7 separate regions of the Mus musculus genome follow, and regions 1, 2, 3, 4, 6 and 7 are each reported to be linked to region 5. Evidence: microRNA targets listed by miRTarBase, many of them from high-throughput screens and not tested one by one. Region 5 holds a microRNA gene; each other region holds the end of a gene's coding sequence.

Region 1 (4,149 bases), not on the chromosome of region 5:
CACAACCACAACCACAACCACCACCACAACAACAAAAGCCTTTCAGTTTTAGAAATAAATATGAGACTAAAACAAGAGAAGATATGGAAAGTAGGTCAGAAATGAAAAGTAGCAGATGTACATCGTGGTGACAAGAAGGAGAAGAGAAGCCAGAGACTGTCTGACCAAGATGAGAGAAATGAAGGGGACATTGGTGCCACTTAGCTGGAGACAGCACTGAAACAATATAATTAGAGAAAATGCAAAATTTATGTAGTGTAATTGAGTGAGTGTATGGTGCTAGCTTTCTTTGAGGTATAAAGTGACAGCATGTGAGCTACCTTAAGCATTAGGCTGGGTCTGGTGTCTGTCTCTTCAGGCAGATGATAATGATGATGGTGATGGTGATGGTGATGATGATGTGGAAGGGGAATCTATATTTCTTCACTTGTAACTAGAGATGGTGGTTTTTCAGGTATTTGAACTGACAAATACCTATTTAATTAACTTGTTTAAAGAAAATCGGGCTAAAAATAATCATAGCTCACCTAATTATAATTTGTTTCAAAACTAAAACAAATTATAAACCAAACTATTATAGCAATAGCTGTGTTACTTTGACCAAGTCTGATCCTCCCTGCAGATCTCCAGTGTTCTCAGCTATTAAACAGCAGTGTCAACTAACACATCACACAAGTCCTTTGAGCAGTACGGTATCAGGGATCTGATTTTATGGTCACTTCACACACAGATTCTAAATATTTAACTAAGATTTTATCTCTCTCTCTCTGTGTGTGTGTGTGTGTGTGTGTGTGTGTGTGTGTGTGTGTGTGTTTGTATGGGCAAGCACACCTAACATGTGAGAGAAGTGCCTACAGATTCCAGAAGAGGTTGCCACTTCTCCTGGATGGAGCTTGAATTGCAGGTGATTGTGAGCCACCCAATGTAAGTGCCCAGAACAGCACTGTGGTCCTGTGGCAAAGCATGATGTACTTAGGCACTGAGCTATCTCTCCAGCTCCTGACTCTCGCTAGGTTCCATATAGATTATGAGCCATCGCACAAGCTTATATTTTCACGTCTCTAAAATACAGACTCTGAGCTCTGGCTGTGTTTCAGGTGATACACATATTCCATCAGATGTCTTCCTCACTGTTGAATAGTTTGCCTAACACATTTAACATCGTAGCTATATTTTATTTTTTTGCAGAATTAGACTTTTCAAGCTTCTCTTGGTTTGTTGTTTCTAAACTGGGAATATATGGATACCGGGCTTTAGAGAGCCACTGTGGGTTTACATAACATCAGGGACAGTCACTAAAAGTGACTGGCAGTACCTAGCCCAGGCTCTGTGGCCAATGAAAGTACTTTGGCAGTGTTGAACTGACAAGTTGAAACTTATTTCCAAACTTTGCTTTAAATTTCGCAGCAGCTTTGATGACACAGCTATTGAAAGATAGAGTTTGACCCATAGTCTCACTTCTGAGCTTAAACTCTGCCTACAGAATCAGGTCTCCCATCTAAAGAAGAGGATTAAATCCCAAGGCACTAACTAGCAAGTCTGTTACTGCTGAGCCTATATTTGGCACCACTGGAACATGCGTAAGCTACCTAATGTTAAAGCGACAAGCCAAACCACACCGGAAATAATGTACTGATTTTACAAAAGGGTAAATAGAACATTTTATTAACACTTGTTTTGCAGCAACAAAATGACAGTTCACATCTCTTTACTCAGCACAGCAAAGGTTATGGTCACATGATAGTACTCTGAGACACAAAGCAGAGAGGGACTTCAGTTTCTTAAGGTCAGGAGTGGTTTGCATTTAGAAACAAACTTCACATTGTATATTTGCAGTAGCAGGGCCTCCAGTCAAGAGCACAGGACACCAGACAGATCAAATACCCAAAACTGACAGGTAAACACACCAGGTGACATTTTGCAGTAAATTGGGATGTGCATTCTTATCAGCGCAAAACATTAGAAAGAGCTCTGAGGTTAACTTTTTTAAAAGAAAGAAATCACTGCTACCACAAGCAACATGGGGATAATTTACACACAGGAGGTTTTATGCTTTGCACTTATTGCTTGGTACACAAATGTTGCAGTTCCTGTTGAATTATATTAAGAAATGACGAGCAAAATGCTTTTTTTTTTCCATCTAAAATTCTATGACTCTATGAAAGTAGAAATTGCAATCCCCAAACCCAACATTAGGTGTATGCTTGTTTTTGGTTCTGTGTGAAAAGTATTTGTTATGTTCGTGTGAGTGGATATGTATAAGATATACAGGGATGTAGATATAATTTTAATATATTTTGTACTATATACTCAAGACAAATATCTCTTATGTGGGACATTAGGTAATAAAATTGTCTACATATAGAATCTCTATTGTTTATCTCTTCATATTATATATAGCTTTGTGGCATGAGTTTCATATAGTCTCTAGTTATCAAGGAAGATTATCTAAATTTTCTATTTATTTTGTTAATATTGCATTTTAAGGGCTATATCATCATAGTAAATTTTTATTAGATTCTTTATGATTATACATATATTAATCATTTTTTCCTAATGCAAGTTACAACCAGTACAAAGTTGTAATAAAAAATACATTGAAGTCTATTTCTTCTTATTTTTTTGCAAAAAAAAAAAGTTATGTGATATGTTACATGAAAGTTGGATTTTATTGAAATGTGAAGGGTTTGATACTGTCAGGTAGTGAATGGGGGAGCATGGAGCATACCCCTCCCTTTACAAGCTCTCATTCATAAAAATAAGTGTTTGTGCCCAAGCATTTCACAAAACACTGCAAGATAAGCTTTTGGAAGATCACAAAATATCACACACTGTGCACTCCTAGTAAGAGTTCAGTACAGTTTGCTAGCTACACAATATAGTTCTTCATTGAAAGATATAGCCACTCCATGATAGACACATAATGATTATAGTCAATACCTGATCTAGCCATCTTTCCTGTTCCACTATGTCTCTAGACAGGCTTTCCCTGGGATAGTTTGCAGTCCAGTGTAATAAATAAGTGCAGTTTGCATGATCCAGTAGCTTTGGCTTCCTAACTTCTGTAGGATGACATGTGCCAACTGTTGTAGTTGTGCTCTCTAAAATGGTGATGGGTCCAACGAATACCTACTTATTTCTACAGGAAACCTTTAAATCACAAACGAAAGGACAAATGGCCTGAATGAAGACGGCATAACGTGACAACTGCCACAGATTGCACTTGATGGGAATCTCATGGTCTGTTTTGAATTCAGATTTTTTTGTTTTTGTTTTTGAACAGCAAGACTTGCTTGGTTGATATGTTTACATGTTCACACCACATTTTTAAAATTATTTTTGTGCAATCACAATTAATTGATTCACAAACACTACAAATGAATCCAGCAACTAGCATCGTTATGAATAATCATCTCGGTCCTTATAGGTGTACGCGTCTTGCGCACCTTCTTGCACAAATTCTTCCTTTTTCTCCCAGCCGTTAGGCCAGCCTCCATTCTCCTGTGAGGTAGCACCGTAAGATTTGGTGGTACCGTAATTTATGTAATTCTGAGTGATGTCCCCCGTTTCTTCATCCAGTTCATCTTCGTGAATGAAGCCACATTTTTCTTCGCTTGTTTCCTCAGGGTCTGCCCAAGGTTGTTTCTCTCCTGAGGCAAATAGTGCATAAAATATGACTCCACCATAGTGGACGAGTGCAGCAATGAGGAAGACATACTGCCATTCTTCACGGGACTGTGGTGAGAAAAGCAAAGGTGTGAGAGCAAATCCCCAAACCGAAAAGCCACCCTGCGAGCGAGCGGGCGAGCGATGGAGTAAGCGAGCAGGCGAGCACTCTGCTAGCGTGCTTTGCACTAAGTGCTATCTTTGGGATTAGCCATGTCATGTGAACAGCTTCGAAATAAAACTATTTGCTTTATTATTTTCTATTTTAAGATAAAGTTTTGAAAATAACATTTCAAATACACCTATAGGCTGCAGAGTTTAAGAATTTCCCCTTTTTATTAATTATTCTCTAGACTTGCCTCTCTCTCTCTCTCTCTCTCTCTCTCTCTCTCTCTCTCTCTCTCTGTCTCTCTGTCTGTCTCTCTCTCTCTTTTTTTCTTGCCTCTTTTTTGATTGCATGCGGTAGCTAAGTAACTGAGCTGC
Region 2 (4,175 bases), not on the chromosome of region 5:
ATAGGAAGGAATTAAGTTTGCTGGTCAAAGGATAAGTGCATGCTTGGCTTTAGTTGATATCGCTAAGTTTCCAAGCTCACATTCTCTTTGAAATGGCTATTATTGGTTATTTGAAGTCTCCTGAGAATTGCCAGTTACTTCTATAACTTTTCCTTGTTCATGGAGCGATTGTTCTGCCTCACCACCTCCCTTACTAGTTCAAAACTTGTAAGGTTTGAACACTCTGGTCTCAAGAAGAAACTTCCTACCTAAGCCTACTGTTAGTTTTTATTTAAATACCAAGAATTACTACTTGGGCCTGGAATGGTTTGTATGGTTTTAGTTTGTTTGTTAGGGTGGGTATCTCTCTCTCTCTCTCTCCCTCTCCCTCTCTCTCTCTCCCTACCTATCTACCTACCTATCTCGTCTTTTACCAGCCTTAAATGGTTTCCAAAACATTTCTCTATTTCACACACAAACAAGTTTATTAATACAAAGATATTCACAAATATCCTCTTGCCATCTGTTAATGAAACCTGTAGTCATTTTATTAGTTATTTTTGTTTTTTGTTAATTTTTTCTAACAAGTAAAAACTGATTATTCTCAGATTATGTTTTTCATCCTTTTAAAATTGTATTGACTTCTGCTATTTTATATGTATTTTTTGTCACACCTGCTTTAGGTACAATTTCTTTTTCTTTTAACTTGAGAGGGAAGCTCAGAGCCTTTTCGTATGCTGGTCAATATTATATGATGAAAAAGTAAAAGGATCTATCTCAAGAACCCTATTTTAAATCAGGTCTAAAATCTCTAGGGGCACTGCATCCACAGGAATATTATCTTATTCATTTAAAGCCTTAGTATTTTGAAGCAGAACATTAAATGTTTTCCTCATACCATGCTAGGGAGTAGGGTGTGAACAGTCATTATCTACACGCTCAGTTTCTCCTCTTGGTACACTGGCAAGATGATAACAACACATGTGAGTTCTTAAGTCAAAACCCTAAGGCTGTCCGAGAGATTACCCATATTCTGGGCATTTCATATAAACATATATACACACATATACAAATTACACACACACACACACACACACACACACACACACACACACACACACACTGTATTTTGTTCATAGCTATCTTTAAATGCTGATATCTATACTTCTTTTCATTTTTTATTCTTTCTTTAATTTTTTTCTTATTGAGGCTTCTGTCCATGTTATTCCTCTACTCCAATATTCTCAAATGCTCCATGAGATTAAACAATGAGAAACTGCTTGGTGCTGGACATGGGGCTCTTCAGGATCCTGGGATGTCTGTTATGTACTCTTTACCCTCCCCCAGCAGCTCAAACTCATCAAACCCTTGCAATTTCTGCTGGGACATGTTTCATCAGCAGAGCTTCCTCTAACTGAATTCAAATCTCTTACTTCCTGTTGCAGGGCACATGTCAGGAGGTTGTAGTAGGCTTATTACCAGTTCTTAGATATGGAAATGACTTGGTCATTGAAAAAATCCAAACTCATTTGCATTTATGCATTTAATTTTATTTGGTATACATCTCTATGTCCTTTTTGTAGTTGGAATCCATTACAGGATGTTTAAAGTTTTGTGATTTAGTCACCTCCACAAAGACAATAATACTGCTGTGGAAGACTAATAGGAAGGGTACATTTATTTACAGTTCCTTATATTATATTATAAACCTCTAACCTAGACACTATTACCTAACTTGTAATGAGAGCTTTACACAGACGAGGAAACGATGCCGTTTCTATTCATCTTTAGCAACAGCGTGTCATACAACACCAGAGATTCTGATTAATAGTATGTTTTCTTTAGATAATTATCTAAACTGTTCCCAAAAGAACTAGGTATTTTTAAGAGTTATATAACTAAAACTACTTAAGCCAACATACTTGGCTGGTAATTTCATCTTCAGAATAATTTAAAGTGCTATAAGCAACCTGGCAGTCAACACTTTCTATAAGAACAAAACTATCTTTAGACATCAATTTACAAGATATACAACATTTGTGTGGAACAGCTGAATTTTCAGCACAATGTCACTGTCACGTATAACAGCAGGATTTATTTTTTTGCATAACATGAAGCTCTGAAATTTAACTGACGAATTGTTGCCACATGGCTTATTGTTGGTTTCCTACAAGAAAGAATACAATTGCTAGTTTATTCTACCTTTTCGTTTTTGAGGCCACTTGACAGTAAGCTTGCACATTCACCAAGTCTACTGAATTACAGTATTGTCTACTACAGTCACTGCCCTTTTATAAGAGCAGATGCTAATGGTAACTAATAACATATACCACTTAGAAAAAAACACGTTTTTATTTCAAAACAATTTTTTTTCCTTTTGAGAAGAAACAAAACAAAACAAAACAAAAATGTCTTGGGGTAGTTGGTATGCAACAAGGCTGAACAAGAGAACTGTAAAACAGTGTATCTGACACAATGTTGAAGAAATATGCACGTTTTAGTTTTGTACTTATGATAATGCCCTATTAAGCTACAAATATGTAAATAGTATTACTTGCTTAATATATTAAATCCAATAGAATCATTGAATTCCCATTCTCCTCTGTCAATTCTCCTCTATTCAGTGATGAAAACATGCGCCCAAACCTGCAGACTGTGTGCGCTGTGGTCTATGCCAATCAGACTGCCCCTCCAATTTCATTCTTAAAATGAAATAGAGAATGTTTACAAAATGAATAAAGAGAATGCTGTAGTGAATTAGAACTAGAAGAGGTCTATGAAGCATGTATTATTTTGGCATGTGGTTTCTTATTTAGAACTAAATGTAAGTAGGCCCAAATGTCACCTGTGCCAACTCCACCAGATACAAAAGTATCTAGGCTCCATTTCCTCAATGCCCCGAGTACACTGCTCTATAAAAAGAATCAATACAGATTAAAAACAAGTTGAACAGAGCACCATCCAGTTAGGACTGAGATGACGTGAACTGAAAAGGTGGCGGCCTCTATGATCCAAATGCTGCACTGTGCTGACAAATTCCACCCGCTGTTACACTACTGGATCCCACTACTGGATCCCAGGCCATGGTGTAAACAAAAGAACTCTGGGACAGAAACAGGATTGGAAAAATAAACTCCAAAATTATAGTTGCAGTAAATGGCCAAACAGACTGACTTTAAAGCACGAGTGACATATTAATTGTATTGCTTCTTGAACATTCCAAACGATGCGTTTGTCCATTCAGGTTTGGGCCGATGTCCTGCTACAACCAAGAGCACTGTGTTTATTCAAAAGCCCAGATTTCAATGTCTTGGATAAAGAAATCTTCCTTCTTAGAAAGTGTATGATTCCCAAACGTTTTACAGGAATGGCTTCTTCCATGGTAGAGATCTCCATCAAGCCAAAGAGCAAATTCCCCTCTGAAATACATCAAAACAACAATGATCAACATTCATGCCTTAACTGTAAAGTAACTAAGTGGGTTTTTCAATGTCCACTAGCTCCAGGCCATAAACTTCTCTAAACCTTCCCCTATTCCTTTTCTTTGTGGGACTGGCACAAGATTTTTGTTTTTCTTTCCATTATAAAATCATTTATTACTCAAATTAAGAACACTAAAACTTATTTCATATTATAATTACTTTTTGGCACTTGGTATAAGTATTTCTTTACAATTATATTATTTTCCTTCTCTTAGGGCAGTGCTCTACCACTGACCCCCAAGTCATTGTCTTTGTTGTACAGTTTTAGGGTTTTGTAATTTGGTTTTCTTACAGGTGTTAAAATGAGGGTTAATGATAAAGGTAGGACAACAACCCTGAGTTATCTACCCTAGATGCTTAGGAAGAAATAGCTTGCTGCTAAAAACAGAACCAGGACAAGCAACCAGAGTGTCCACTCAGATACTTCTTTAACAGTGAGAAAACAACACTGGCTTTTTGTTTGTTTGTTTGTTTGTTTTGTTTTTGTAGCAAAGCATGGAAAAGACTTTAAACAGATAAAGAGACATGGTCCTGGGATCCTTCATCAAGCAGTAGGAGCAAGACAGAAGCCAGGTGTGATCGGGCTTAAAGGACCTCAGTGGAATAGACTTCAGGGTCATCTCGCTCTTAACTGCTGATGTTTCTCTTCAGCTTCCAAGTGAATGTTAAAGTGGGAAGGACTACAGTTATCTGTGGACATAAGGACAAACATTT
Region 3 (4,175 bases), not on the chromosome of region 5:
TTACTGGTGACCTTTGAATTAACGGGGCTGATTTATATCCGAGATGGAGGCTGTTTCATATTAGACCCCTATTCCTAAAAGTGTAAGTAGCACTTGCATCCCACCTGCTTTCTCCTACATGATTTTGTACTATTCTATAACTAGTGGAAATTAATAACATAATCTGAGAAGTCAAGTGGTATTTCAGCAGATGTTTGCACTCAATTTCTTTCTAGATGAATTAAAAACAAAAATTCAACTGACAATGATCACAATGTCTTCATTTCAAGCACACAAAGAATTAAATATTGTGAAATATGCCAACCAGTTTTACTAAGCTCTTAACCTGCAGAGAAATGGCTGGCAATTAGTATTACATTAGAATTGTCACAGCTAAGCAATTTATAAATCAGTAGGAGGACTTTAACTGATTTTCTGCTACACGAACACACCGAACATGCAGTTAGCGTAAATACACAGGAATTAAAATTACAATTGAAGTGTCAGACAGTAAGTGAAAAGTTTTAATGTTCTGTCTAGTGAGAGAGCTAATAGCTAGTTTATGAAGAACACAGTGAACAAAAGTCTATCTGTGGCCAGGACTTTGCAAAGGCAATATATTTGGTTGTTCTTGGTTATAGAACATTATTTAAGTGAGACTAAAAGGGAAAATTATATTTGAGATCATACACGAATCTGTACATTTTCCTGCTGTGACAGTCAATCTGAAATTTTGCTGTCAGGAAAACTTGTGCACAACAAATGTTTCTAATTAGATTAACTCTTTCCCAATATCTTACACTACTGTGAAAAAGAGTTCACTTCCATTTAAAACCTAAAAGACAGAAAATTCAAGGCTGATAGCCTTCTAAAATAAACCCATTATGGCAGCAGAAAAGGTTTAGTGTCAATCCCTGTGAGATTAGGTTGGTGGGCTTGCTCTAGCTTTGAGGTCATCCCATGAGTCACTCCAGAAAATGAGCACTGTTTTAATTGAGGCTGTCACTGCTGGTTTGGTACTTCACTCTGTCCCCGGTAACAGCAGATACTGCACCCTTTGCCATGAAATGGTTGAAATGCCCAATCAATCCATGATTTGGGGTGACTCCTCACCTAGGATCTGGGAGATTCCGTGGAGGCTCCTCACATGGGAACTGAAATGAACTCCATCTGGGCCTACTTGCTCCATTGTCTATTTTTATTTTGAGACTACATCCAGGCTAGCTAATTGAGAGGGATAGGAAGCAGTTGGGAGTTAAGCCAAGTCCATCACAGGTCACCCAATTTCAAGACCTATCAGCAAACTGAATGTTCCCTTTGTCGCAGGTGAATAGAAATGTATACTCTTTTGTTCTGTATGCTTTGGGGTCATCCTTTCCTTTCCTGTCTTTCATTCATTTGTAAAATGAATGTATGTAACTGAGACTACTAAGGTTCACTCCACACTGAAGGGACTCAGATAATTAAAGGTCTAGAAGTTGGGGCAACACCTCAGCTAGTGCTGGAGATAGGTGGATACTTTCTTCTCAGTAATACTGTCATGAAGGTACTTAGCTATAAAACGAGGGCCTGAAAAGCCTGGGCCACAAAATGTGTTCAGAGTTCCCCAATAACACTTGTTTTTTTCTGCTTTGGAATTTTGGAGACTAAGTTTTCCCCATACACTAGACTTGAATGATCCTGTCTCAGCCTGTTGTGTGAGAGATGCAACACACACACACATGCAGGGACCATATACACCTTTTCATTCCAGAAAGGGAAATCCACAATAGACCAGTGCATACAACTTGGCTAACCAATGAGTTTTAATGAGGTTGTTAAGAGGAGTATGGGTAAGGGTTAAAAGAGGGATGAATCAAAAATTGCAACCCTGAAACTCTGTACATCTCAGGTAGTCCTGTGATACACTGTTAGCAATTTTTCTAGATTCTGTCCAACAGTTACCTAGCAACAGTCAGGTAGGAGCCTAACTTGCAATCAAAGGACTGTTTGTTCCCTCTCCCTCCTCTCTATACCTTTCCATGTGTTCCTACTGGTCTCTTCCCTTCTTTCTCTCTCTTTTCTTTCTGTCCCTCTGTCCGCTTTCCCTCAGTCCCTTCTCACCCCACTTCTCATACCTCCAAGTAAACTTCATTTATAGTAGACCCATGGTCCTATGGCTGGTACATCAGGAACGGTGGGGGGTGCTTCAGCATGGACCTGCTGAGGCACCCCCTTCCCACCGCATCATGCCACTGCATTACAAAATGTATCATGTTCTCCTTTGTATCTTGGTTGGTCAAAGTCTACTTGCCAAGCTAGTAAGGGGTTTTTGAACACCTTCCCAGTTTCTGTTTTTGCAGTCATGTAAAAGCAGACTTCTGTTCACCTCTGAAGTTTCATGAGCAACCCCCTCCTTCAAATAAGGGGTGTTTTAATTTAGAGAAAATTGACAGACAGAAGACGGGACAGGAGAAAACAGATTTTAATTTTTAAATATTAATACATCTCCAGGCTGTTTTGCAAAGAAAAATCATGTTACATTAGTTTAAAACTATGCATTAAGTATATTTCTTTAAACTCTAATTTTTACAAACACATAATGAAAGAAATATATATTTTATAAATATCATTTCAGAACAGGAATTATGAAGTGTTCAAAATATCAGGCCAAGATTTTTCCTCTGTAAATATATAAAATTCCCATATACTTCATATGAATTCCTCTTCAAGAGCAAAAAATTTCCTCTTATAAAGGCCAACTCAGTTTTCAGACACAATCAAAAGTAATAATATAAAAAATGGAAAAGTTCTGTACAAGGGAAGATAGCATACAGGTAAATCCTATTACCATACATGCCATTTGTGTTTTAAAAATGTTTTATAAAAACTGCCACTGAAAACAAATGTGAGTGAGACTCTTTCCCTGGCTGTGGAAAATATATATAAATACACCCACCGGCTGTTGGGTGATGAGGCTGCCACTGAAGGAGGTGGGAAAGGAGCCTCCAAATGTGTTCCCTGAGGAAGGGACCTGAGCCAGAGAGGGAACCCCGCTTCTTTAGCAGTTGTTTTATCTAGTGGGCCATTCACTGCTGTTTCCTTTAATTTAGGAATATTCTTTGGGGTCAAACAAATGACTGAGGGGTGATCAGATTACAGAAGCAACTAATATGTCTCTTCTTGGTTGCTTGGTAATCAAACTCCAGAAGCCTGGTTTATTACCAATACCAAAGAAGCACCCAGCCACCTGTCCCAATGTGTACCCCAAGGCTGTCCCTTTGTCTTCCCTCTTCTGGTCTGAGCTGCACTGTGGCTGCTGCACATTATCAACTACTGTCTCTTCTGACACTTCTTCTGGAAAGAACTCTTCAGGAAAGTACGATACACAGGGTCATCCACATACTCATTCTTGAGCCTGGAGCTTAGCACTCTTTGCCTCTTCCTCTCCCCTTGGATTACATCTGCTCCATAAAATGTGTCTTCAAATCGCATGTCGGAGGCTGTGGACTAAACGCAGAAATACATTATTGAGTGTATAAATGAGAAATATATTACTGAAACACTACATACAGATCTAGGGAACAGAGGCTAGGATCTATCACAGGGTCGAAGGAACCTACCACAGTGTCTTACAGTGTCTTCATCATCAGGTAGGTCTCACCTATACCACATGGCAGAGATATGTGGCTCTATTTGGTCCCAATTTCTTTATCCTGCCTGAGGAAGCTTCCCCAAACAAAAGCAAAATTAAAGTCTTCTCATATTGAGTCTGCTGTAAATGAAAACTCCTAAAAAGAAGCTATGTCTATAGAAATTGATTGACTAATTAGATTTTGAGAAAGTATTGTGGTGAGATTAAAATGATCCAGGTCTAATAGCTCATCACTAGCTCTAGCCCCTCAGAAGAGCCACCCATGCTTTCCTATTTCTGTGTTGCAAGTTAACATCTTGTGACTTACAGATAAAAAACTTTTTGGAGCCCATTAACTTAGCAGATCACTAGTTCCCTCCAGCCCCAAAGCTAACAATGTCATCAGACAGAATCTTGGGCCTATAGCAAACCTTCCCCCTTCTTGCTATAGCAACCTCTCTGATGTACCCACTAATGTATTTTAAACTCGCTGAGGTATTTAGATTTTTTTTTTTTGGTCCTACAAAACTATAACACTTCATGAAGCAGCTTCCATGTTGGAATATGAAATTTTAGTTGTCTT
Region 4 (4,175 bases), not on the chromosome of region 5:
CAGCATCCTGCATGGCGCAGCGCCTCGCAATATGGAGGACTAGCCAATGGGGAAGAAACTTCCTTACCTACTTCAGTTTGGTTTCCCTATGTTCCACAATTGGAGCCTGTGATGTCTTTAGAGCTACAGTTCCATGGCCTGGCTCTGATGCCAGACAGTGACAGTGGCAGTGGCCTATATTATTCTAGGCCCCTGAATACCTCCATGACCAACAACTGTTCAAAGGGAGGTTAGATGACAAGGTAAAGAGCTTTGGGAAATTTTACAAATAATTTTACAGACCATAAAATGTAATGGCACACTGTAAGAACTTACTGGAGGGGCGGAGGGGATAGGGAGCTCACTGTGGGCTACGGGGGATTAGAGGGAAAGCCCACCCCTCTGCTCACACAGTTTCTTCTGCCCTCCCAGGTACCGTGTGGTGGTCTCCTACCCTCCACAGAGTGAAGCGGAGATCGAGCTAAAGGAAGGTGATATCGTCTTCGTGCACAAGAAGCATGAAGACGGCTGGTTCAAGGGGACACTGCAGCGGAATGGCCGCACAGGTCTCTTCCCAGGCAGCTTTGTGGAGAGCTTCTGAGGACCACTGCTCATGGCTAGCTTCTGTTGTCCTGGAGAGAGCAGAGGATGCCCGCCTTATCACCAAAGTCCGAGCGAGGTTCTTTCTAAAGCACCGGCCAGAAACAAGCCGATGATTCACGTGAAGTCCTTATTGGAAGCACACATGGGCCATGGCGTGTTTGTGAAGATAGGCCATATCCTCATGTGACATCCTACTGGAAGCACATGTGAGTGTCCTGCAAGACCACGCCATGAGTCTGAGTGAGCAGTAGCACAGAAAATGTTACCCACATGGACAAAGGCGCTGCTCTGTCACCCAGCGGCTAAAGCGTTATTGTGTAAGGTTGGGAGCCCGGGAGGGTATAGAGTTGGGCCATGTGCTAGGGCTGACAGCAAGAAGAGCATCTTCCCTGCCTGCCCTGGGTACCATTCCTCTATATACCTCTGTCACCTACCACCAGGCCTCACCGCCAGGGCATTCATGGTTCAGGAGCCTCATAGAAGGGCTGTGAGCCTCCCAAGGTGTCCAGTGGGGTCCTGTGGGGCACTGGAGCAGAACCCTCTTGTCTTTGTCTCCTACTGGGATAATGAGGTGCACCGTCCAGTTCCTCCGCCGCTGTCTTCACACTGCTTCCTTCTTACGGCACACCTTTTTAATGTACAACTCTTAGACTTTATATATTTCTAATAGGTCAGACGCTGCATATTTTTCATACATCTGGTGCTGATTTTTTGTAAAACCAACCTGGGTAAGTGTCAAGGGGGGAAAAAAAGAAGTAACATCAAAGGAAAGTTTTCTATATTTCCCAGATGAAGTTTGGAGCATATTGAGGAATTCCTATCTGTAATATCACAATGCTGGCTGGTGCTCCATGCAGCGAGAGGGAGGGTCTGTGGAGAGGGTGCATGGAGTCGGAGCGTCTTCCCAAACGGCTGGAAATAGCTAACCCACAAGCTCCATCTAGATGAGAGTGATTGCTATGACTAAAAAACTGGAAACAAATGAAGGAGTGGGTTCTGCCTTTGTGTGTGGCAGAAAATGCACATAGACAGACAGACAGACACATACACATATATACACACACAGACAGACAGACACACACACATATACACAGACAACACACACACTCACACAGACACACACACACACACAGACACACACACATACATAGACAACACACACACACTCACACATACACACACACAGACACACAGACACACACACAGACACACACTGACCCCAGAAGCTTCCTTTGATTGCTTTAAAGAGAATGACTAAAAATAGCATTCTGAAAGCACGTCTTTCTACCAAAATGCAGCTTTTACAACAGCTCAGATCCACTCTCTTGCAAAGGATTTTTTTTTCCTTTTCAAAAATAAATAGCTTGCCCTCTGAGGCCAGGCAAAACTCATCTGCTAGAGACCAAAGGTACAGTGATAACACAAGCCTGATGCTTGTCTATAGACTTACAGGGCCTGCAGACGCTGGAAAGGAATGAGGGCTGGTCTCTGACTCTGAGGCCTTACGTATATTCACTGTCACAACAGCTTGCTGCCCAGGAGGCTAGCCTGATGGCTATCAGGAGGTGTGAGTGTCACACTCTAAGAACACTTTTTTTTTTTCAAAAATTTCTCAAAAAAAATAGCAATTTGTGAGCCTCTGGGTACATTTTTATAAAATCATGCAGCCCTGTATCAAGTCTTTGGTAGCAGAGGCTATCACTGATTTTCATAATAAAATAAAGAGCACTTATGCTCAACGTTTCTGTCTGGGGATATGACTAACTAGTTGTGACTGCCGGGTGGCTACCACATGGATGTAATCACACCCAGACGGTCTCACCCTCCCCCAGGTGATAGCACCCTTATTGGACATAGAAAACTGTTGTGAGCCAAAGAGACGCTCTATCTCAGACATAGGGACCCCTGTATGCAGGCTCGGTGACAACCACATGATATCTACTCAGTGTCACTGCTAAATGACTTGCCCATCCATGCACAAAAGATCTAGGTATGGTTCCGTGCTGCCACCATGGAGGTAACACAGATCTACATCCTGGGTGAGGCATGTTTTCAGTGGAACCAGAGCTAACTCCAGATCCCAGACAATGAAGCAAGTCCCTTTCCCTTCTAAACAAGGTCAACTCTGAGTCAACAGAACAGACTTCACTTGGAACTGTCTTCCTTTCTTGCACTGGCTGCCTCGTGATAGAGGAAGTAGCAGCCTCACAGAAAGCAGAGGAAAGCATCAAGGTACCGTGGAAAACATCAGCTGAATCCTCTCCTAGCAAAGTTTACACTGCGACCAGCATGGGGAGGGAAGCAGGGCCCTGGGGCTCATTCTCAGGTGGGGCTTTTGAGACACACAATGAACCCCATGGTCTGAGTATTCTGAACACTCCCAAGCCCTTGAGCCTTCAAAAATCATGTTTTCCACAGCCAATGACAGAAAAGAGGTACCTTTCCTAAGGTCATCTTCCCTTGAGGACACACGTCTGTGGCACCAAAATGAAGCCAGCACCTCATCTAGAACCTTCACATTCCGTCCTGGCCAGCAGCATGTGCCCCTTACTCATACACTTGTATTTGGTGGCCACGTGGGTTTCACTCCTTAGTTCTCAGCCCTTCAGATAGACGGTCAGCAAGGAGACAGGACAGTCTAGCCTCCAGAGGACTGATGGATCTCGAGAGACAAGATGGTCCATAGTGAGGCGTAAATACAAGGCGGAGCACCCCAAAATCAGCCCAGTAGATGTGGAAGCCCTTGTACTTTGCACAACACACACCGAGACAGACAGACAGAAAGACACGTGCACACGTGTGCTCCCAACCCCACATATGTTTTTATTATACACCAATGTCAGTGTGTGATTTTAGATGAATTGACAGTAGTGGCCATCTCTGATGCCTGTGTTTCTGAGTCTTTAAATAAAGATGAACATGGAGAGGCTGTGTGTCTCAATAACGGGACCAATGCAGGTGGGGTAGGCGTGAGCCTGAGAGGTTGGGATTCAGGCCCTGGGGGGGGGGCACTGAACTGAGGGTGTTGGTTTAGTTGCTGGTCTATGGCTGTGAAGAGACACCATGACCAAGAGACGCTTGGGAGCTTGCTTAAAGCTTCAGAGTGGTAATCCCCAATCATTATGGTAGGAAGCGTGGCGGCAGGCAGGCAGGCAGGCAGGCAGGCAGGCAGGCAGGCAGGCAGGCAGGCAGGCAGGCAGGCAGGCAGGCAGGCATGGGACTGGAGCAGAAGCTGAGAGCTCAGTTGCAGGCAGAGAGCGAGGGAGACTGGACCTGGCATGGCTTATGACACCTCAGAGCCCATCCCCAATGATAAATCTTCACCAACAAGGCCACACAAATTCATCCTCCTAAACAGTCCACCAACTGGGAACCAAATGTTCAAATATATGAGCAGAAAGCGGGGTGGTGTTCTCATTCAAGCTATCATAAGGGCACTGCCTGCAAGCCCAAGCCAGCCCCAACACTCACGCTTGTCACCTTCTGCTCCTTCAGGGGGACACAGACTCAGTGTCTATCAGGACTGGGCACAGGGATCCTAAGAACTTGTGGCCAGCAGTGAAGTTGACCATGATCTATACCCAGCACACGTT
Region 5 (4,175 bases):
AGGCTACGCTTCTTGGGCGCGACTCAGGTGGCAGCCTGAGTAATGCTCTTCTCTCTGCCAGCTTTTCTTCAAGTTGCAGGACAAGTACAATCAGGTTGTCTAGGGAATTCGGCTGAGGGATCCGGAACAGATAGTGCCTGATCTCTTCGTTGAGCCCCTGGCACAGGTGGGCCTGCAGGACTTCATCTGGCCAGCCTAAGGTGGGTATCAGACCCCGGAACTCATTGATGTAATCGGCCGCACAGCGGTTCCCCTGCCTGATGTTGAACATGGCGTCTTCCGCCACACGCAGGGTCTGCCGATACTCAAACTTTTCTGACATGGCCTCCAGGAAGGCTGAGAAGTTGTTTATCACTGGGCTGTTCTGCTCTACGAGGTCGTTGGCCCATTCCAAGGCTAGGTCAGTCAGGTGGCGGATGACGAATTTCACCCGCAGCTCATCATTGTATAGCATACTTGGGTAGTTCTGCATTGTCATCTGGCAGAGCACGACAAACTCATGGTAGTCTCTGCGATCTCCAGAGAAGGGCCTGAGGGAGGGCAGGCGACCTTCGTTGATAGCCTGCATCATGAGCCTTTCTGCCACTCTCTGTTGTTCTTTTAGGTCTTGCATCCGGAGGAACAGCGAGATGACGTTCCCCATGGTGGCCACGACTTCTTCTGGAGAGTTCTTGGGCTGACCTTCCTCTTCACCACCTTCCTCTTCCTCCTCTTCCTCGTCATCTCCCAGGTCAGTATCATCTTGGTCTGACTGGGTCTCGGATGAGTTGATTGTTTCATCCATGCTATAATCGGATGCCTCACTGAGTGGTTCCGACCCTTCCTGGTTTGAAATATCACTTGACTGGTTTGAACTGTCGCTTGACTCCTGGTTCGAATTATCGCTTAACTCCTGGTTTGAATTATCACTTAACTCCGGGTTTGAATCATAGCTTGACTCCTTTTGTGAACCATCGCTGGACTCCTGGTTTGAACCACCGCTTGACTCCAGGTTGGAAACATCGCTCGACTCTGGGTTTGAACCAAAGCTCGACTCATGGTTTGAACCATTACTTAATTCGTGGTTTGAACCATCACTCGACTCCTGGTTCGAACCATCATCACTTGATTCCTCCATGTCTTGGGGTAGATCGTTAGATGATGCCTCACAGGGGTCGCTGGATGGCTCCTCCACTTCCCGGAGTAGATCAGTGGGTAGCTCTTGCATTTCCTGGTAGGGGCCACTGGATGGCTCCTCCACTTCCCGGAGTAGATCAGTGGGTAGCTCTTGCATTTCCTGGTAGGGGCCACTGGATGGCTCCTCCACTTCCCGGAGTAGATCAGTGGGTAGCTCTTGCATTTCCTGGTAGGGGCCACTGGATGGCTCCTCCACTTCCCGGAGTAGATCAGTGGGTAGCTCTTGCATTTCCTGGTAGGGGCCACTGGATGGCTCCTCCACTTCCCGGAGTAGATCAGTGGGTAGCTCTTGCATTTCCTGGTGGGGGCCACTGGATGGCTCCTCCACTTCTTGGAGTAGATCAGTGGGCAGCTCTTGCATTTCCTGGTGGGGGCCACTGGATGGCTCCTCCACTTCTTGGAGTAGATTAGTGGGCAGCTCTTGCATTTCCTTGAGGGGGCCACTGGGTGGCTCCTTTTCTTCCTGGGCTGGGCCACTATCTGAGCCCGCCTGGGCCTCAACCTGGGCCTCAACCTGGGCTTCAGCCTGAGCCTCCGCCTGGGCCTCCACCTGGGTCTCCGCCTGGGCCTCCGCCTGGGCCCCTGCCTGGGCCCCCGCCTGGGCTCCACTGCTGCCTGGTGTCTCTTCAACGGTGTTGGATGAGCCCTCGGAGGACTCCATTTGTTTTGATGATGGATTCTTAAGCTCCATCATCGTCTCAAATGAGTCTTCAGAGGGTTCTATCATGTCGTCGGTTGGAAAGGAGTGTGCTCTGAAGACTGGTAAGATTGTGATGTGTGTGGTCAGAGACCGCAACTGTGGAGACCAAAACCTAGGGACAGAGGGATAAAAGACAGGAGAAAATGTAGCAATTTAGGTTCTCAAGATGGCAGGGTCAGATTCTATCTCAAGGACAAAGCAGATGCCAAGTTACTAGAATCAGAGAGAAAATGGAGAAATTCCTCCTGCATTCAGTTCAGCCTCCTTTTCTGGTTACTTGGGGCACCTCCAGGGGAAAGACCGTCACCCCCTGACCTGCCTTCCAGGCGGAGTCTGACTACCCCACCTGCCTACTTCCTCTAGTGGAATGAGAAATTCACAGCCCATAAATTTTGTGGAGCAACTGGCCTGGAGCGTCCTCTGTGGCGAGCTAGCACCTGGCAGGGCACACTTCTGGCCCGCTTTGCCCTGGCCAGGTTCCCTTCCCATTTGTAGTCACCCAAAAGTCATAAAGGTCACATCTCAATGCCACTCAAAGCGGCTGCTGGCAGGCTTGGTGGTCTAGAGCCAGCCCAGTGAGCTTGGTTGGAGGCGGGAATCTGCAGGGAGATGCCTGCTATTTCACAAACTGGGGAAAGAGGAGAAATTGGGCACTTGGCCACTATCCTGCCAGTTGGGTCAACAGCCAAAAATAGCTCTTATTTCCTCCTCTAGGCTCCAAGCCGAAATAAGTGAGAGAGAGCCATGGCTTTTGGTTTTAATTTTGCTCCCCATAAATGTTTATAAAATGCCTACTATGTGCTGAAAACATGCACTTTCATGGCTTCATCCTAGGTCACACTTTGTGCATATGCAGGATAAGAGGGGGGTGGGGGAGGGATAGTATCATTTCTCTTGTTCGGTTTGATCTCTGTCCAAAGCCACGTTTTCTCCAGCTCTGAGCTGAGTCGGAGCTTTCTAAACACCCTTTCCCGGGCTTTCAAAAAAACTGTTCTCCCAGGATTGCCTGGTCTGCAGGGCTCCTGCAGCTTTAAACATCTGGCCTCAATTCTGCTCATGCAAACATTTCTGCACGTCTCACAAATGCTATCTTTCCAAGTTTCTCCTCTGCTTCGGCAGGAGCAGGGTTTTCGTTCTCAAAAGTGCCCCCCCCCCCTTTTCTGTCACTGTTGATTTCGTCTGGTACAGGGGTATATCTAACAGAGGTATGAAGTTGGGTGAAAGGGGGGGCATGGGACCTTTGAAATCTGATTGTTCCGTAATTTTTGAAAATCTAGCCATGGAGGGTTTAGTGCACGGAAATTGAATTTAAAGGGATGTATTGGTTTGCAAAACAAATTAAGCTAGTTATTCAATAGCTCAGCCATATAGCTATTGTCTTTATGAATTCTGCACCTTCTGTTACTTCTCAATTTTCTTTTTTAAGGTCACTGGGCTGACCTATCCAAAAACAGAAACACACACACATACACACACAAAACCAAATAAACAGAAATCTCCCATGTTGTCATTCATGTAAAACTCCCGTTGGCCATCCTCCAAACCTTGCAGCAGGATGCTTTTGGGTCTGCAGTTTCTCAGAATTAGACATCTCCTTGTTAGCATGACACTTAAATTCGATCATGCAACCCCTCTGATTAAAGCCTCTCACTGTTTATTTACTGTCGGCAATATTAAATCCAAACCTTTTATATAAACATGTCTGACATGTAAACTTACCAAAAAAAAAAAAAAAAAAAAAAAAAAACTCCTGGCTGAAATTGAAAGGCCTTAGCATAATGTCCACGTTGGGCTTCTCATTCCTAGAACTGGAGATCACAGGTCCTGAGCCTGCTGTACAGACCATCAGCTCAGAAACATGCACAGCATATTACATAAATCAACTTATTTCCTCTTTCAGGAAAAGTCGTCTATTATTAAAATATAAAATTTGACTAATTCATCCCCAAGTTCATCTGCGGGACATAAAAATCTCAGCAGGTCTCCACCTAAAAATTGCTCATGGTTTCAATTTTTAAATTTGCAGCAATCCGATTTTAAAGCTAAATGATACCCGTTCTAAATAAAATGCCTATACTTAAAATATTACAGACAAATTTGATCATGTAAGGGATTAGATATTTCTGCTTTCCAGCCCTCAACCAAAAATCTCTTGTCCTAAAAATTTTAATATGCCTGGATATCAGAATAAACCTTTAGTTGAGATAAACAATTTTCATCTTATGATTTTCCTATTTAACGCACACATATTCACATACACAGACATTTCTTTTCTTTACCATGAAGTTCCAGTTGCTTA
Region 6 (4,175 bases), not on the chromosome of region 5:
GGCTCTAGAAATGAGCCTTTTGAAAAGCATTCTAGATCATCCCACCCTTACTAAAGGCTTCATGTGAGGTTTTCTGCCTCAATTCTCTGGCACTTCAACTCAAATTTCCAAAGCCTGCTGGGCTCTCTGCAGAATGACTAAGCTTCTGTAAGGCAAAGGGCACTGTCAAGACAAAACGGCAACCAACAGACTGGGGAAAGATCTTTTCCAAAGATCTAAATCTGATAGAGGGCTAATATCCAATATATACAAAGAGCTCAAGAAGTTGGACTCCAGAAAACCAAATAACCCTATTAAAAAATGGGGTACAGAGCTAAACAAAGAATTCTCAACTGAGGAATACCAAATGGCTGAGAAGAACCTAAAATAATGTTTAACATCCTTAGTTATCAGGGAAATGCGAATCAAAACAACTCTGAGATTCCACCTCACACCAGTCAGAATGGCTAAGATCAAAAACTCAGGTGACAGCAGATGTTGGCAAGGAGGTGGAAGAGAAACACCCCTCTACTGCTGGTGGGATTCCAGGGCCAGGAAGCAGGAGTGGGTGGGCTGGTGAGCAGGGAGAAGGGGGAAGGGATATCCTCACTGCTCTAGAGGATAGTGCAGCCAGTTGGAAAGAAAAGTGGGATACATGGGCAGCATCAGGATGGAAGTGGTCACTGAAGGGAGAAGAAGCCAGTCAAGGAGAAGAGGCCTCCGGCAGAGCAAGGCTTCCAGGAAGGCCATCTGAAATCACAGTTGGGATAGATAGAGCAGAGTACCAATTCAGGGTAACAAGGAGGACTTAGGCATTGAAACTCAGCCACAAAAGTGAAAGCCGACAAACAGGGATTGAGAGAGAGGATATAAGGATGGATGAGGGGCTACTGGAGATAAGGCAGCCACAGTCCATTTCCAGACCTGCACAGCAGTGGCTCACAGGAATTTAGAAAGTTTTGTGAAATGGGGTTGAGGTCAGTTGGATTCAAATTTATAATATTCCTGTCTTAGTCTCCTGACTGCTAAGATTACGACCCTGTGCCACCACAACAAGCTGGGAAATTTCAGTTTTTTGTTTGTTTGTTTTCTTATCTTGAGACAATAGATTTCTCTGAGTAGCCTTAGCTGTCAGAGAACTCATTCTGTAGACCAGGTTGGCCTTGAACTCACAGAGATCTGCCTTCCTCTGTCTCCCAAGTAATGGGATTAAAGGTGTGAGCCACCACCACCCAGCAGGAAATTCAGTTTTTCAGGATGAGGATAAGAATGTGTTTGTAGAGGGAGGGAGGGAGCGAGTAGAATTACAAATAAAATCAAGAGTGAGTATAGCTCATTGTCAATTTGTATTTTGGTATTCTGCCCTGATGGTTTGACAGATTAACCCCTTAAGAGAAATCTGACACAGAGGTAGTCATTGAATGGACACCTTTTCCTTAAAGGGCCAAAAGGTAAATATTTTAGGCTTTGTAGCAAAAGTCAACGTCAAAGACATTGTGTTATTTACATACTGCTTAAACAGAAACCTGTTCTTATTTGAAGCTATGTCATGCATTTTACTACCCATTTATAGCACAGAAACCTGTTATAGGCTGTGACAAAAATAGGCAGTGTGGATAGAAGGTACACTGGATTTGGCCCAAGTCATAGCTCACTCACTCAATTTAAAGCAGGCACCTCGTTCTTGGTCTAGAGACTTGGGGGAAGTTTCTTTCCTTCTGTCCTGATGACTAAGGATGAGGTAAAAGGAAAGTTTAAATCCTAGCTACATGAAGTTGAAAATATTTAAAGCAAGAAAGTTGGAGTTATGGGAAAAGACTGCAAATGCTATAAAAACAAAAATAGGAATAACTGTATATTTAACAAAACTGAAATAAAGACAAAACTAATTTTAAAGAATATCTCATAAAAAGGGAGAATTCTCCAAGATGATCCAACAGCCATGAACTTTATTACCCCTAAAAACATAACTGGGAACTACATAGAGCAAAACAAATAGAAATAAATGAGAATAATTGACAAAGCTGTAATCGTGGGCATGACTTCAAAATCAACAAGTCAGAAATGGGAGCTGGGGTGCAGACATAAAATCTCAGCACTGGAAGCCTGAAAGCAGGATTGCCATGAATCTGCGGCCAGCCCAGGTTACACATGAAGCAGGAGGATTGCCATGAGTCTAGGAAAGGAGGGCAGGCTGTTTACTCATCCTGACTCCCGCGGCTGCATCATCTCTAAGCCCTGCTCTTTCCCATTATTACAGGAGTGGAAGGTGTCTGCCCTGTCAGGGTCTGCATCCACCCCTTCCTTTCTTATCACACTCATCTGTCTGTTCTGAGACTGGGTGAGGCCTTTCATCATTTCCCCCATTTGAAAGTCAAGTAGACCTTATCTCTTTGGATTCAAGGTCTAAATTTGTTTTATTTCTTCCTACTGTTTTAATGTAATTCCTATTTCAACTGTATTTATACAACCTTGCATATTTAACTATGATTTGCATTGTGGAAATTAATTTAGCTCAATAAACATTAACTGTGCAAAGCAAAATTACCTAGAAAATGTCAAGTTTCTTAATAAACATTATCCTTTTGCAAAAGCACCAAAATACTTTCTATCTAGAAGTAACGATTATTTCCAGCAACTGCGTGAGCCTCGGGCATTTTTCACATCTAACTTGTGATGTTTCCTCTGGAAATGTGCGACTCGTTTGTCTACTGTCTACTTCTCTCTCCAGGGGACTCAGGGTCTGCAACTAGAGCGTCTTCTCCCGACTGTAAATCCCTAACACTGATCAATGGCTTCACCAGCTGGATATCTGATTAGGCTTTGCCTGTTTTTCATTTACATTGTAAAACATAGATCTTTGTCTTCACAAATATAAAATTATCTAATATACTATATAAATGACTACATATATTTATACTGAATGTATGTTTTCAGACTACCAAGTCTCCATTCCCTATCCTTATGAGATTGTGATATTATTTTCTTATGGGGGTATATTTCTCTTAAGAATCAATTTTGAAAACCAAAATTGAATTTCTCAATTAATTACTATTTAGGATAAAGTCCAATAACCAAGTTTGAGGGAAAATACTCAATTAAAATACAGAAATAAATCATACTACCAAAAAATAGTGCATGATCTAATAAATTATTTTCAGATGATTAGGCCAAATTACTTAAACTTTATAGTTGAAAACTAATACAGGGACATGTTTTTTAAATGGGCTGCTAAAAGCCACCACATAATACATCTTTCATATAGTTCAATTATAGCAGCCAAACATACTCCTTTTGTTGGTTAAAATAACATTTGGGACTTTTTGTTATTGTCAATTATATGGCCTACAAGCTACACTTTTTATTTTCTACTATTTTTGATATTTAGAACTAAGATTCTAGATTTTTCCAAATAAATTTTATCAGCTTCTACCTTGTTTAGCCACTTACCACTGAATCTATAAAGTATTGAATAAAAATTGCCAAGTGTAACAAACGCTCCTCTGGCTCATACCACAGTACAAAGATTTAGTAGGAATATAAAGTGACTATTTCTGTCAGCAATACCAATACCTCAAATGGTTTCTTCTTCCCAAATGCTGCTAGAGTGAAACTTTTGTATACTCTGCAACTAGGATGAGAAATATGCGTTCAGAAGCTTAGAAATAGACTTAGAGTAGATTGGAAAGAGACAGGAACAAAATCCAGGCCTGAGACCAGGACAAGGGAAGTCCAAGGAAGCCCTGCACTGCTCTAGACCCTGCTCAATAAGGCACAGCAGCTGGAAATGGTTTGTCAGTGACGCAGAGGGCCCATCCCACAGTCATCAGTACTCTGCATCGATGTGCTTGGCGATGGTGTTCAGCTGGATGTTGGAAGCTCCTTCATATATTGTACCTTAAACAACAGGGAGAAATGGGACAATTAGGAGTGTGCCCACAGCTGAAGAGAACCGCACAGAGATGAGTATGGAAGACACCAAGCACCCCTGCACTTGCTCTCAGTAACAGGATTCAGTTTCTAAAGTGATTCTGACAGGGTAACAGTTTCCCATTTGATCTGCAGCCCACTAACACCAGCTTTGAACAGACGAGGACTTGGCTCTTTGAGCATCAGTGTGCAAGCCCAGCTGCTTCTACGGACCCAGCAGCTTTCAGGGCTGCCTGCCGTTTGCTCTCCTCGCTGCTGGTGGAGCA
Region 7 (4,175 bases), not on the chromosome of region 5:
ACATGTGCGTGTTTCCTGTCCTCTGTCCCCAGTGCCCTGTCTCCCGTGAGAGAGAGGGGGGGGGCGGGAAGGGAGGGAGAGATTGAGATTTTCTCATTTTCCAGTAGGAATATTCTGCTTTCTGAGTTCTTTCATCTGTTGTCGCCGGAAACCAAAATTAAGGATTGGGGAAGGGACTTGGAAGATGAGCTAGTAAGAATGAATGTTAATACTGTTTAACTAATCTAATTCTTTTTATATGGTGGCTTTTGTTACAATTATATATATATATATATATATACACACACACACACATATATATATATGTATATATATATATATATATATACACATACACACACACATACATATGTGTGTATATATATATATATACACACATACACACACATATATATGTGTGTGTATATATATATATATACATATATATATATATGTATATATATAATACACACACACACATATAATTGCACATGCCACCCAGCATGTGTGTGGAAGTCAGAGGACAGCTTGCAGGAGAATGCTTCTCTTCTTCCACCACGTGGGTTCTAGGGATTGAATTTAAGTCTTCAGGCTTGGTGGAAAGTTCCTTTACCTGCTGAGCCATTTTATTGGCCCCAGTAGCGACTTTTCTATCCTTTCTTAGGCGTCGAGGTGGAAAGTACGCAGTGGGATCAGCTTGCATTGGAGGTGGCCAAGGCATCGCCTTGATCATCCAGAACACAGCCTGAAGGCATCACAAGCACACTGCCCACACTTACTGGGCCAGGCCACGGAACACAGGAGACCTTCGAGTCAGCCCTGCTGAGACAGTGATTGTATGTGACCAAGCCTTGATGAGGCAAGATGCATTGGGTTCTGTCTACTTCATACCTGTCTGACGTGTTAGAATAAAAACACCAACCATCGGAGGCCTTAAGAGAAATGGTATCTGTCAGTAGTCACCACTGTATGCCTTCCATGGAGTAATACAAACTGAATAAATGTTGCCTTAACTCCAGCTAACCTTTTCTTGTTGGTTTTTTTAATTACATAAAGTGTCTCATTGTACCGGGTTGTAAGCGTGCAGTTCAGTACCATTGAGGACACTGACAGGACTGTGCCAATAGCGACACTGCCTACTGTCAGGATCTTTCATCTTGTACCGCTGAAACTGTTTCTATTCTTAAAATGTGTCATTTTTATGTGCCATGTGTCCCTGGGTATGGGCATGTGTGTTGTAGATACCCTCAAAGACCAGAAGAGGGCATTAGATCTCCCAGAGCTGAAGTTATACCCAGTTGTGAGCTGTCCTTTGTGGGTGCTCTGGACCTCTCGATGTGCAGTGACTTCATTAACCACGGGACGCCTCTCCAGCCCCTCCCCCCCCCCCTTCTCATTTTAAGAAATGATTCTCCATTCCCCTCTCACAGTCTGAGCAACCACCATTCTATTCTCTGTCTCTGCATGCTTCCCTGCTCTGGGAAGCTCATGTGAGCGAACCCACTGACCTTTCATGACTGAGTATTTCAGTTAGTGTAACACCTTCAGGATCTACCCTTGTTGTAGCATATGTCAGAATTCTATACATTTTTAGTGGTAAATATTCCTTTGCACATGTCTTATCTAGCCATCACCAACTTCACAGATGTTGAGTGAGGCACTGTTATTAGTTACAACCCAGTACCAATCTCTCCCTTGCTCCAGGGCCTCCATGGAACTGCCCCCTTGACCTTCCTCATAGACATCTTAAGCTTGCCTTGCTCAGTAGCTGGGGTTTTTGGTTTGGTTTGGTTTGGTTTTTCAGGACAGGGTTTCTCTGTGTAGCCCTGGCTATCCTGGAACTCACTTTGTAGACCAGGCTGGCTTCAAACTCTGCCTCCCAAGTGCTGGGATTAAAGGCGTGCACCACCACGCTCGGCTTCAGTAGCTGTTTTTAGACCCCACTTATGTGCCTCCTTTGAGGTCCTCTTAGTTCCAAAAACCCGGTAATCCCTTGGACCCCACTCTCTCCCCCACACAGCAGTAAATGTTGTCAAGTCTTCTGAGGGCATATCTCAAGACTGTCGACCTCAAGAGCCCCTTGCCTGGACTACTGTGCTGGATTGAACGAGAACGGCCCGGTAGGCTTATATGTTTTGAATACTTGATCCCTAGATGGTAGTAGTGTTTGGAAAGGATTGGGAGATATGGGCTTTTTGGAGGAGATGTGTCACTGGGGTAGACTGAGGTGTCGAAAGCCCATTTCCAGTTACTCTTGCTGCCCTGTGCTGTGGATCAGACGTAAGCTCTCAGCTGGTTTTGCCTGCTGCCATGTACCCCACCATGATGGCCATGAACTCTAAAACTAGAACCATGAGCCCCCCCCCCCAAAAGTAAATGTTTTTTAATTGGTTGCCTTGGTAATGATGTTCTGTCACACCAAGAGAAGAATAAGTAGCATCTACCTTTCCCAAGAGCTCCTACCTCCATTTTTGTCTGCTTTCACTCATTCTCCAACAAGCCACCAAGGTCAATGTCTATGATGGGTGTTCCTGAGACTTCCTATGTCAAAGCAATTAATCTAAATCTCTTTACCTTAGCCTCAGGCGGCCTCTTCAGGCAAGGGCAAAAGTAGCCACATTCTTCACCAAAATACCACAAAAACAGTCTCTAGGCCACATACTGAAATTCTTCTCCACTAAAGCCTCTTGGGCCTGGTCCACACAATTCAAATCACTCTCAGTAACAAAGTCTTCCATATTCCTACTAGGGTAGCCCATTAAGCCCCACGTAAAGCTTTCCATTGCTTTCCAAATCCAAAGTCTCAAAATCCACATTCTTCCAAACGAAAGCATGGTCAGGCCTATCACAGCAATACCCCAGTCCCTGGTACCAACTTCTGTGTTAATTAGGGTTTTACTACTGTGAACAGACATCTGAAAGAACCTAGTGGGGAAACCCCCACTCTGTTCCCGATTCGGCCGTGCACCCAAGCATCACGAACAAACAGACCGTCTTGATGTAAAAACATGAGGTAGTTTAATGGCGGAGCTCTGGGTCAAAACGTATCTCACGCAGGAGACAGTGGATTCGACTATGAGGCTTGGAAGCTAGGGGTTTTTATGGAAAAGGAGCTGGGGATGGGGGAGGAATTGGTGCAGTTTCACATGATTGGTTCATTTAAAAATCAGTAGGGAGGAATTGGCATGGTTTCACATGATTGGTCCATTTAAACATCAGCAGACTGTACATGCAGATAACATTTAACTTAGGTCAGAAGGGCGGGAGATAGGGAGGTGCCAGGCCAGTCCGGACAAGTCATTCTCTTTATCTTCATGGCCTAGCAGCCTCAAGAATGTCTTATAACGACGGGCCTGCCCAGGCATGTCTTGGCCTGTTCTGCTATGTTCTCAGCCCCAGGTTTCAAAGCTAACAACTCTTTGGGCTATTTGACATAAATTACATGAACCACAGGTCTCAAGTTTTATTTTCTTTCACATCCTGACCAAGGCATCTCCTATAAGGACAACATTTAATTGGGGCTGGCTTACAGGTTCAGAGGTTCAGTCCATTATCATCAAGGCAGGAACATGGTAGCATCCAGGCAGGCATGGTACAAGAGGAACTGAGAGTACTACATCTTTATCTGAAGGCTGCTAGCAGAATACTGGCTTCCAGGCAGCTAGGATGAGGGTCTTAAAGCCCACACCCACAGTGACATACCTACTCCATCAAGGCCAACCTACTCCAACAGGGTCACACCTAATAGTGCTTGCTACTCTCTGGACTGAGCATATCCAAACTGTCACAGTCATCTTTTAACTGTACATAGTAGGACACATACACACACAGCTTAAACCCTGAAGCAGCTTTCTGCCACACATGGGATAAAATCTAGACCTTGGAGATCCACACTTGGAGACTCTCGGTCCCCAAGATGCTCTGGCCCCTACTTCTCTCTTACTCCATATCTTTGTCCTCTGGCTCCCTGTGCTTCAGTCCTACCTTTTGGCTGCCCACCTTCCACATGACTTTAAGCTCTGGGTCTTGGTGTCTAGTTGCTCAGTCTAGATTGCTATATCTTCTGGCCCACCAACCCATAGGCCTACTTATCCTTAGATCGCAGGCTGGCTCTCTGTCCCTGTCACTGTCTCTCCTTGTGACCTTCCAGCTGTTAGGAGTTTGTATTGACCTCCTAGTCTCTGTTCATTCTCTAG

The links. Region 5 holds the annotated microRNA mmu-miR-136-5p (ACUCCAUUUGUUUUGAUGAUGG, at 1,831-1,852, shown strand). A microRNA usually pairs through its seed, bases 2 to 8, with sites in the 3' UTR of a target mRNA and lowers its output. Matches are read on the target gene's strand: a 7mer-m8 pairs with bases 2 to 8, a 7mer-A1 pairs with bases 2 to 7 and ends in A, and an 8mer does both.
Region 1: the mRNA of Slc17a6 is a reported target of mmu-miR-136-5p. The part of its 3' UTR that is shown has no 7-base or 8-base seed match.
Region 2: miRTarBase lists Oxr1 as a target of mmu-miR-136-5p. Seed matches in the 3' UTR shown: 7mer-m8 at 2,860-2,866.
Region 3: miRTarBase lists Kdm4c as a target of mmu-miR-136-5p. The part of its 3' UTR that is shown has no 7-base or 8-base seed match.
Region 4: miRTarBase lists Sh3rf3 as a target of mmu-miR-136-5p. Seed matches in the 3' UTR shown: 7mer-A1 at 3,502-3,508.
Region 6: the mRNA of Acadsb is a reported target of mmu-miR-136-5p. Seed matches in the 3' UTR shown: 8mer at 2,926-2,933.
Region 7: the mRNA of Acaa2 is a reported target of mmu-miR-136-5p. The part of its 3' UTR that is shown has no 7-base or 8-base seed match.

Annotation. Positions count from the first base shown.
Region 1 is chr7:51,668,611-51,672,759 of GRCm38, reverse strand. It overlaps Slc17a6 (solute carrier family 17 (sodium-dependent inorganic phosphate cotransporter), member 6), which reads right to left. Exons shown (of 12, transcript NM_080853.3): 12 at 1,634-3,735. The coding sequence ends at 3,400. Among named protein-coding and RNA genes, the nearest start is that of Gm33136, 46 kb to the right of the region's middle.
Region 2 is chr15:41,858,381-41,862,555 of GRCm38, reverse strand. It overlaps Oxr1 (oxidation resistance 1), which reads right to left. Exons shown (of 17, transcript NM_001130166.1): 17 at 1,508-3,398. The coding sequence ends at 3,263. Among named protein-coding and RNA genes, the nearest start is that of Abra, 9.3 kb to the left of the region's middle.
Region 3 is chr4:74,404,114-74,408,288 of GRCm38, reverse strand. Kdm4c (lysine (K)-specific demethylase 4C) reads right to left here. Exons shown (of 22, transcript NM_144787.2): 22 at 2,425-3,468. The coding sequence ends at 3,292. Among named protein-coding and RNA genes, the nearest start is that of Kdm4c, 150 kb to the right of the region's middle.
Region 4 is chr10:59,135,409-59,139,583 of GRCm38, forward strand. It overlaps Sh3rf3 (SH3 domain containing ring finger 3), which reads left to right. Exons shown (of 10, transcript NM_172788.3): 10 at 412-3,508. The coding sequence ends at 580. Among named protein-coding and RNA genes, the nearest start is that of Gm23223, 58 kb to the right of the region's middle.
Region 5 is chr12:109,593,501-109,597,675 of GRCm38, forward strand. It overlaps Mir136 (microRNA 136), which reads left to right and starts at 1,827; the gene lies at 1,827-1,888. It overlaps Rtl1 (retrotransposon Gaglike 1), which reads right to left. Exons shown (of 2, transcript NM_184109.2): 2 at 1-1,988. The coding sequence starts at 1,903. It overlaps Mir434 (microRNA 434), which reads left to right and starts at 1,006; the gene lies at 1,006-1,099. It overlaps Mir432 (microRNA 432), which reads left to right and starts at 1,456; the gene lies at 1,456-1,530. It also overlaps Mir3071.
Region 6 is chr7:131,443,938-131,448,112 of GRCm38, reverse strand. Acadsb (acyl-Coenzyme A dehydrogenase, short/branched chain) reads right to left here. Exons shown (of 11, transcript NM_025826.4): 11 at 1,902-3,876. The coding sequence ends at 3,806. Among named protein-coding and RNA genes, the nearest start is that of Gm39099, 16 kb to the left of the region's middle.
Region 7 is chr18:74,805,212-74,809,386 of GRCm38, forward strand. It overlaps Acaa2 (acetyl-Coenzyme A acyltransferase 2 (mitochondrial 3-oxoacyl-Coenzyme A thiolase)), which reads left to right. Exons shown (of 10, transcript NM_177470.3): 10 at 644-996. The coding sequence ends at 728. Among named protein-coding and RNA genes, the nearest start is that of Acaa2, 28 kb to the left of the region's middle.